Arabidopsis thaliana: one gene and its partner. The protein of the gene in region 1 interacts with the protein of each later gene in a biochemical or structural test. Each region holds a gene or a part of one and is shown on either strand. Other genes may lie near its edges.

Region 1 (3,542 bases):
ATTAAAAAATGTAGGCTACTTGTAGAATTAAAAACTGGAATCTTATAATATGATTAGTATAATAAGATTACGCTATATCTGGATTCTGGAGATATCATAGATAAGCTCTGTCTATGAAAACGAGACCCTTGGGGAAGCCACGTGTCAAATCTATCTCTGTCACCAGCGAAGCCTACGTGGCGAGCAGCTCCTAGAATATCCAAATTCACAACAGTATTTTTTTTTCTTTCGTTCTGATTCAACAGTTGTCACAAACAGCCAAGGTGTTTTGTGATTGGTTATAAATACTCTGCTATGTGAGAGAGTTTACTACATTCACAAACAAACTAAAACTTAAAAATGGGAAGGGGTGAGTTTTTGGCCATGAAGACTGAGGAGAACGCGGCTAACCTGATCAATTCCGATATGAATGAGTTCGTCGCCGCTGCAAAGAAGCTCGTGAAAGACGTAGGGATGCTCGGCGGGGTAGGTTTTGGCACGTCAGTCCTCCAATGGGCCGCTTCAATCTTCGCTATGTGAGCCAAAAGACAAAACCATATAACCTCTCTGGTTTTTGTTTGAATCATATATTGATATGATGGTTCTTATTGTTTTGCTTTGACAGTTATCTGTTGATATTGGATCGTACCAACTGGAAAACCAAAATGTTGACCACCCTTTTAGTACCATACATCTTTTTCACACTTCCTTCGGTTATCTTCCAGTTCTTTAGGTAATCAAGAAAAACTGTTCTTTAACATGATGTTATGGAGTTCTTTTGAAAATATAATCCATATTCGATATAATTTCACAGCGGAGACTTTGGGAAATGGATTGCTCTCATCGCGATCATAGTCAGGCTTTTCTTCCCTAAAGAATTTCCAGGTCAGAACCAGCAGTTTTCATGACTTAACATTAGTTTGAAACTTTGATCTTGAAAATCTTCTTTCTTTTTTGCATATAAATGTAGAGTGGCTAGAGATTCCGGTAGCATTGATTCTTATTGTGGTGGTGTCGCCGAGCCTTATAGCTTGGACACTAAGAGAAAGCTGGGTTGGAGCAGTCATATGTCTAGTAATAGCATGTTACCTTTTCCATGAACACATTAAAGCTTCAGGTGGATTCAAAAACTCTTTTACTCAAAAGAATGGAATCTCCAATACCATTGGGATCGTTGCCCTCCTCGTTTACCCGGTTTGGACCATCTTCTTTCACATCTTTTAAGTCAATCCGACCCATTGGTTTGTAGACACATTCAACATTTTGTGTCTTCAATTCGTTTTCAAGGTTTGAATTTTATAAGGAGCATTTGTGTTTGAGAAAGTCTTGAATATAAAAAAGAAGTTTCAATCGTGCACTGCTGACTTGTAAGATTGTTTTTTTTTTCTTGTAAATGTGTGACTTGTAAGATATATAAATAAATTTGCATATTGGTTGATTTGTTGAATCAATCTTGAATATTGTAGACTTTTTAATTGATCATGACTAATAGTTGTTTTTTGAAAATTGTTTTTCATTTCATTAACACCAAACAATAAAGCAACACAAATTTCTATCACCTCCTAGCATTGAACTACGTGCCGTTGTTCGTATCCAAAAGTGTATATTCTTGTAATCATTCACCGTCAAAGCTCAAGTAGTTAGTAGCACCACACCAGATTTCCAAAGCACAAAGCTCATGACTAGCCTTACCTACACACTCGATGAAATCGAAGGCCCTTTCGAAGTTGATTACGCAGCAGTGACAGTACACAACTTCCTGGTGGGGAGCGTGTACCGTTCTTGTTCACGATCAAGCAGCTCGTGGCATCGCAGAGGATACTTTGGTCCCAAGTCGATCCCTTCAGCATTCACCCAAGGCCACGTTGGAAATAAATCTGATCGTAAAACACAACATCTGCAGATTATTATCAATAAAAATTCAGAAATCAATAAAATTCACTCTGAAAACGCAGAAAATCTAAGGTAAATTCATAACGACCTTTTGAATTTCTAGTGTCGAAGCTGTATTGAAGAAGAAGAAGAAGATTCCGAAGCTAACAAAGGAGAAGACGAGAGTGGATTGATTGCTCCTCTCTCCTCTCTGATGATATTCGTGCTTCTACACTCACAGAGATACACTGTTTATTATTGTTTTCAATATATGAGAGGAGGAGCTTCCCTACTATTTTTAGTTTTTTAGCCAATGAGAGAGCTCCACTTCATACCCCACTTTTACCAATCGTGCGATTTCACAGCCACTCTCACCCATGTCGCGTTGAGCGCGTGTCTACGATTTCTAAAGGGGTTATTAATCCACAAAATTTATGCCTTTTTGAATCCACGCACCTCGTTCTTAAAAACCCATCGCGTGTCTTATTTGTTTTGGTTTTCTTCTCTAAACCAAATTAAACCGAACCGAGATCAATTTGAATTTCGAAACCAATGTAAACCCATCGCTGTGAAAACAAAAAGCTCGGCCACAAAAATGGAGACGACACAACTTGGAAGAGAAATCAACTCGAAATAGCCAAGAGAATGTTCGTAAACCCCCTCAAATCCGATGCTTCCTTTGATTCCAACCTCCAAAAGCCCATCTGCTCAAATCCGAGGAGTATTACAAGGTACCTCTATAGAATATCAAGGCTATGACAATGCGGTTGCATTACCTGCTAGAGGAAACAATGAGGAGCTAGCTAAGGAGAACAACAAGATCACACTTAGTGTAACAAAGAGTAATCCCGAGAGCGGTGAAGTGATTGGTGCTTTCGAGAGTATTCAACCTTCAGACACTGATTTGGGTGCTACGACTCCTAAGGATGTCAAGATTCAAGGAATCTGGTATTGCCAACTTGATGAATAAAACATAGAGAATCTGTTTGTTTTCTTTTTCTGTAAATGTTGTTATGATTAAGGAATATTGATTCCAGTTCATAGTACATGTGGTACTCCATTTGGTAACACTTTGCACTTTTGGCTTTAATCAGATACTAATTATTGTGATTAAAAGACTAATTATTGCGGATTAAGATAACATATTTGTAGATCTGTATAATTGCTTGTAACAGCAAAGATGATTTCTGGTTAAGAAGTAAGAAGAGATTTATAATTAAGCAAACCATTTGCCTTATGACCCCATTGTTGTCACATCCACTTTGTCTTTTCACCTTCCCTGTCTCAAAAAACAGAGGACCCTTGCTCTGTTTCTTAACCCTGTTTTATCTCCTACTCAAAGTTCAAATCTTTTGCGAAACCCAGTAATGGAAGATCAAAGCAGGTGAAAATGAGGAGAACTAGAGACGTTAACAAGGGCTCTTGTTCAAGGAGATGGTAAGAACAACGGCGTCGTTTGGAACCAGCTCAAGCTTTGTTCTTCGTCTCGGACAAACTCTGTTTTCCTCTGCTTCGCTTCTTTTCATGTGCTTTAACGATGACGAAGATTTCTACGCTTACACCACCTTCTGGTAATAAATCAAATCATTCATTTAAAAATTAGAAACCAAGTGTCGAAACAAGAGACTTAACTATGAATGTTATGGAACAGTTATCTAGTCACAGTCATGGGTTTAGTGACACCTTGGAGC
Region 2 (5,911 bases), on another chromosome or scaffold:
GCATCAACAATTGTTATTGGATTTTGTTTTAGATGGAAGCAAAGATTTGGCAAAGTACACAGACCCAAGAAACTGGAGTTGTGCTGCTGGCTATGGAGTAGGGTCACAAAGCCCCTTGACTCCTTCTTTTAACATTGGCATTGAACTAGCAAGAAGCTCTCAGGTGATTCTTTTAAAATCCGTGTAGATGAAAACATGTTGTTTTGCTGTCTGTATGCACAAGTCTTAACCCCAAACAATTTTTCAGTATCTCATGGAACTTGACAAACGACCACATTATTTATCTAATGGCATATCATCCATTTTGTAGCATTTTTAGTCTTGCTGATTATGTTATCTTTCTTGTAAATGCAGTTTATTGCTTCGTTCTACCAACACGTAGTGGTCCAAAGACGGGTACAACTCTTTCAAACAAGTCCTTTTTCTGTGCTGCATCTTATACTAGTCTTCCATATATAAAGTTTAGCACATCTTTGGCTCAATATGAAATCGATTTAATGGACTTGGAACAGGTGCAAAATCCTTTCGAAGAAAACCAAGTAGTTGGAATCACAAACTACATTGATTTTGGTTTTGAGCTACAATCGAGGTAGTGAACATCTCTAAGTAAAAAAAAAAAAAACATTGTAGCTACTGTTTGTCTATACAGAAACAGAACTTTATATTTCGTCTTAATATTGAAGGGTTGATGATTCCAAGACGCCACCCAATGCCCCAGATTCTTTATTGCAGGTGGCTGCGTCTTGGCAGGCCAACAAGAACTTTTTGCTGAAGGTATAAAAAAATATTTACCTTATCGAGTTACTCAAAAAGAAACCATTTATCTCAAATTTTGCTCAGTATGTAACATTTTCAACTTTTGCAGGGTAAAGTCGGAGCTCATAGCTCAACATTGTCATTAGCATTCAAGTCGTGGTGGAAACCGTCTTTCGCATTCAATATTTCAGGTATGCGTTGATAAATAACCTGAATGCAGCGAAATCAAGATGAACATAGGTTCTTGGTATTTGAACATGTTTGGACTCATTTTTTATGCAGCAACAACTAATCATAGGACTGGAAATGTCCAATGTGGGTTCGGTCTACGTGTTGATAACTTAAGAGAAGCCAGGTCAGTCCATTTGTGACAAGTTTAAAATTAAATCAACCCTCTTTAGCTTCATGATCTTCTTCACATTGTTTTATTTTGTGAAATTGCAGTTACCAAAGAGCTGATCCAAACTTTGTAATGCTGACACCGAACAAAGAACATTTAGCTGAAGGGATTGTGTGGAAAATGGGGAAGAGACCAATGTATCAAGCCGATGTGGACGCAGAGAATTTTAGTGAGCTGCCAAAAGAACTTAGACCGTCCCAGAAGATTCTCTAAACTACACCATTAATCTTTTTGCACTTTTATCTAGTAGATTTAGATATCAACCAAGTCAAGTATTTAATAAGTTCGACGAAAGAAGAATTACTTAGGAATAACCATTTTTACTCTTATGGAGTACAAGTGTTTAGTGTTCAAAATTAGGAGTGGATTATCTGGTTTAAACTCTTAAGTTTGGTCTTTTTGGGCTTTTGATTTTTCGAAGTTCTTAAATGAAGCGAAATCCTGATTTGTTTTTGGACTTTTCATTCGGTTTGGAACGATATTTATATGGGATGATATATTACGGGTGAACAAATATCAAACAAAAACAAAACAAATAATATAAAGAAATACAACTTAAATTTAAAAATTTTAAAAAATCGATTATTGGTGTACTACGGGTTATGGATATAAGTAACAACATTCTTTATAATATTTACCATAATAAAGGTTACTGTTTAAATTTATTTTCAAAGTACAAAAAGTTTTCGATTCAATTTGATTCGGTAACAAAAAAAAGACCCGGTTTTGTTTATTCCAGATTCATAAGATCATAAAATAGTGGTTTACTAAACAAATTTCAATTCAATTTCGGTTCGATTCGGTTACGTATACAAAACCATAGCTTCGCATAGAAAAACCATTATTTTCAAAAATTAATATTTTTAATTACAAAAAAAAATGAAATAAAACAGAGACCACAATCCCATTGTCCCATGACCAGAAGAAGAAGAAGAAACTAAATGGCGACGACGACGAGTTGTTCGCTTCTCCTTTCTTCCACTCTCTTCCTTCACTCTCCTCCTTCTTCTCACCTCTCCTTCTTCAATCTCTCTTCTTCACGATCCTCTCCAATTTCTCTTTACCCAATCCGATCCAAACGCTATTTCCGAATCCTCTCGAAGCTTTCACTAAACGACAACAACAGAGACGACGATGATGATACTCTTCATTTTACTCCGTTCTCCGCCGTTAAACCTTTCTTCCTCCTCTGTACCTCCGTCGCGTTATCGTTTTCACTCTTCGCCGCTTCTCCCGCCGTTGAATCTGCCTCGGCGTTTGTAGTTAGTACTCCGAAGAAACTTCAAACTGATGAGCTCGCGACGGTTCGTTTGTTTCAAGAGAACACTCCTTCCGTTGTTTACATCACTAATCTCGCCGTGAGGTATCTGAATTTGATTTCTCTCTGGTGAATTTCGTTTTGAATTTCTTCTCTCCGTGATTTGAGGATTGGTCTAATGTTGTTTGAATTAGGCAGGACGCGTTTACATTGGACGTTCTTGAGGTACCTCAAGGCTCTGGTTCAGGATTTGTGTGGGATAAGCAAGGTCATATTGTTACCAATTACCATGTTATTCGTGGTGCTTCTGATCTCAGGTTAGTTATGTTGAAACTTTGAGAATCTGATTGATTTTTGATAGAAATTGGAATTAGTAATTGTTGTATTCTTAGTTTTATAATGAGTACATTGTTTCTTTGGATGGTTTCTTTTGATGTTTGTGTATGATAAGGAAGTTGGATGATGTATATAACAGGGTCACTCTTGCTGATCAAACAACATTTGATGCAAAAGTTGTTGGATTTGACCAAGATAAGGATGTTGCAGTATTACGTATTGATGCACCGAAAAACAAATTAAGACCTATACCTGTTGGAGTCTCTGCTGATCTGCTTGTTGGCCAGAAAGTCTTTGCCATTGGCAATCCAGTGAGTATACATCCTTAAAGTGATCATAGATTAAAGCTCTGCTTTGTGTTTTCTATTGCTAGCTAGGTCAATACTTATGTTTCTTGTTCATACGCACTAAAGCAAGAACTTTTTTGTGCAGTTTGGACTTGATCATACTCTCACAACTGGTGTTATAAGGTATGTTAAATTATATTTGTCTTCTCTTTTTTTTAAGTTGCATTCTACTCTAATCAGATGTGTTCTTCTCATAACGAACTCACAAATGAAAGTGTCAAAAAAGATGATTGGTACTTGAGGATACTGGATACATATATTTTCTCTTGCCCCTCTTCATGCCAAATGGCTATACTATTCCTTTTCTCTTATTAAAACTGTAGCATGTTTGTGCATTATGATTTGTACAGTGGTTTGCGAAGAGAAATTAGTTCTGCTGCAACTGGTCGTCCAATTCAAGATGTGATACAGACAGATGCAGCCATTAACCCTGGTAACAGCGGAGGACCTCTTCTAGATAGCTCAGGAACGTTAATTGGTATAAACACAGCCATTTATTCTCCTTCTGGTGCATCTTCTGGAGTGGGCTTTTCGATCCCAGTTGATACAGTGAGTTCTCTCTTCTTTTTTACCCATTGCAAATCTGATCAGATAGAGTCTTTCTCTATCATTGAATCCACTAACGGGAGACTAAAGTTGTTTCGAGCTCTGTTTCTCTCATGTTCAGGTTGGTGGTATCGTTGATCAGCTGGTGAGATTTGGTAAAGTCACCAGACCAATCTTAGGTATCAAATTCGCACCGGACCAATCTGTTGAGCAATTGGGAGTGAGCGGTGTGCTCGTCTTGGATGCTCCTCCAAGTGGTCCAGCCGGCAAAGCCGTAAGCTCTTCCTGTTTCCAAGTTTCCATATAACAGATATTTTCTCTATGTTTCACTCCGCGGTTTTAATATTGAAATGTGTAAAATTGGTTTTGTTCCACAGGGACTTCAGTCAACAAAACGTGATGGTTACGGGAGACTAGTACTAGGAGACATAATCACGTCGGTGAACGGTACAAAAGTCTCTAACGGGAGTGATCTGTACCGGATTCTCGATCAATGCAAAGTCGGCGATGAGGTAAACTCCGCAGTTTTTGTCAATTAGTTTCTGCATCCGAGATAGTTTTGACACTGATGATGTTGATTAGGTGACCGTAGAGGTTCTAAGAGGCGATCACAAGGAGAAAATCTCTGTAACTCTCGAACCAAAGCCGGACGAGTCTTAGAAACGTCGTTGAAAGAAGTAAATATACATAACGTGTAGAAAAAAAGTCCGGTGGGTTATATTTTTGTATATCAATTGTTCGGAAAATAGATCGTCCAATTGTGTACATAAAATCTGTTTATATTTGCATACATGCGAAAGGTAACCGGAAATAACCAAAATTGCAATGTCTTCAAACGGTCTTATGGTTTGGATTGGTTTTTAATTTCGGTTCAGACATTGGGAGTGACGAGTCTGACACCTAGAAAAAATCAAAATGAGAAAAATGAAAACCGAATTTCGTCGGCTTAATGGACAGTTACCTCATCTTAGCAATGATGCATAGTACTGATTTTGCGGCTTTGTAGTACCAAATTTTTTTTTCAACACTCTCTCGGATGCATAGTACTGATTTTGCAATGATGCATAGTACTGATTTTGCGGCTTTGTAGTACCAAAATAAAATTTCATGATTGTGCGGCTTAGCAATGATACATATTACATAGTACATTAGTACTGATTTTGGACCTTTATTTTAGTCGAGACAATTCTGAACTTACGGATTCCGAAGTTAACAAAGTCCTTTTATAGCTTTTATTCAGTTCCGAACATGGTTACTTTTTATACATGAAACTTCCTAAAATTTTACATCTACAAACATTCGAGTTTGAAAATTTAATGGTTTGATTTTCGACTCATTACCAAGAATTTCTTTTTGATATTATTCTTCATGATTTATCAAAAGATGTACGTGTATTATATGGTTATGTCTTGAGTTCATGTCATGTGTTCGAATCTTTATAATATAGTCTTACACGGTTTAGGTTATTTGTTCAATTGTTAAGTCATTTTACGGTCCCTATTTCACATTATGTTAGTTTTTTAAAATATTTAAAACAACGTACTGTAGTTTTGATAAATTATTGAGTTTTTTTATTAAGTTGTGAACGCATGCTCTCGTTGAGAGATCATTTACTCGAGCTAAGTTATGACTTGGATGGTTGTGTTGCAGGTGAAAGGTAGCTTTGCAAAAAAAAAAAAAGTTTGAGGTTATGTCTGCATGTTTCCCTGTATACAAACTCAACCATTTGTATTTTATTTTTTGGGTGCAAAAACTATAATTTACGTAGTTTTTGAACACTTTCATAACATCAAATATTACCCACGTGATAAGTGAAAACGAACCGAATATGTAATGATCAGCGAAGGTCCCTACGTGGAATTTAATATTTGTGTCATTCTTTTTAAGCAACACCAACAAGACACTGACATGGGTTGGTATTTATAAATTTGCAACGTAAAGTATATGTAGTAAGATTGTATCTTCTATGGTTGGGACTGTATCTAAACCAAACCGGTTTAATAGGGTATATATTTTTTTTGTCTTTGTCTTTGAATTTGTGGGGTCATAAATCACGGGCATCTTCATTTGGAAATGTATTCATAGTAATGTATATAAACTACTTTCGAGCCGACTTGGTAATGATTACGAGAATCCTCTGCTTTTGGAGTAAATTTCTAATTTAATATGTACGTGTATCTAGATATATATACGACGACATGTCGTTACCCAAATGCTTCGTTAGAGGATAGCTTGTTGAGAACTTGACTATGCCAATCATATATGTTT

What was found.
Region 2: the proteins of AT4G37230 (region 1) and DEG1 form a complex in vitro, tested with the Arabidopsis thaliana proteins (one study listed by BioGRID).

What each region holds. Positions count from the first base shown.
Region 1 is NC_003075.7:17,514,767-17,518,308, forward strand, and holds AT4G37230 (Photosystem II manganese-stabilising protein (PsbO) family), read left to right. Parts: upstream 1-1,657; coding exon 1,658-1,862; exon of another isoform or gene 1,863-1,876; intron 1,877-1,960; exon of another isoform or gene 1,961-2,138; intron 2,139-2,594; coding exon 2,595-2,821; downstream 2,822-3,542. Other genes in the region: AT4G37220 (Cold acclimation protein WCOR413 family), read left to right, coding at 340-515, 605-712, 794-864, 950-1,203; AT4G37235 (Uncharacterized protein family (UPF0497)), read left to right, coding at 3,286-3,422, 3,503-3,542.
Region 2 is NC_003074.8:10,365,051-10,370,961, reverse strand, and holds DEG1 (DegP protease 1), read left to right. Parts: upstream 1-2,017; 5' UTR 2,018-2,097; coding exon 2,098-2,519; intron 2,520-2,608; coding exon 2,609-2,731; intron 2,732-2,889; coding exon 2,890-3,061; intron 3,062-3,182; coding exon 3,183-3,220; intron 3,221-3,447; coding exon 3,448-3,646; intron 3,647-3,764; coding exon 3,765-3,917; intron 3,918-4,020; coding exon 4,021-4,155; intron 4,156-4,225; coding exon 4,226-4,303; 3' UTR 4,304-4,353; exon of another isoform or gene 4,354-4,613; intron 4,614-5,293; 3' UTR 5,294-5,310; downstream 5,311-5,911. Other genes in the region: AT3G27930 (beta-galactosidase), read left to right, coding at 33-163, 355-396, 513-589, 684-774, 866-947, 1,039-1,111, 1,201-1,369. UniProt on the Arabidopsis thaliana protein: Serine protease that is required at high temperature. May be involved in the degradation of damaged proteins. In vivo, can degrade beta-casein.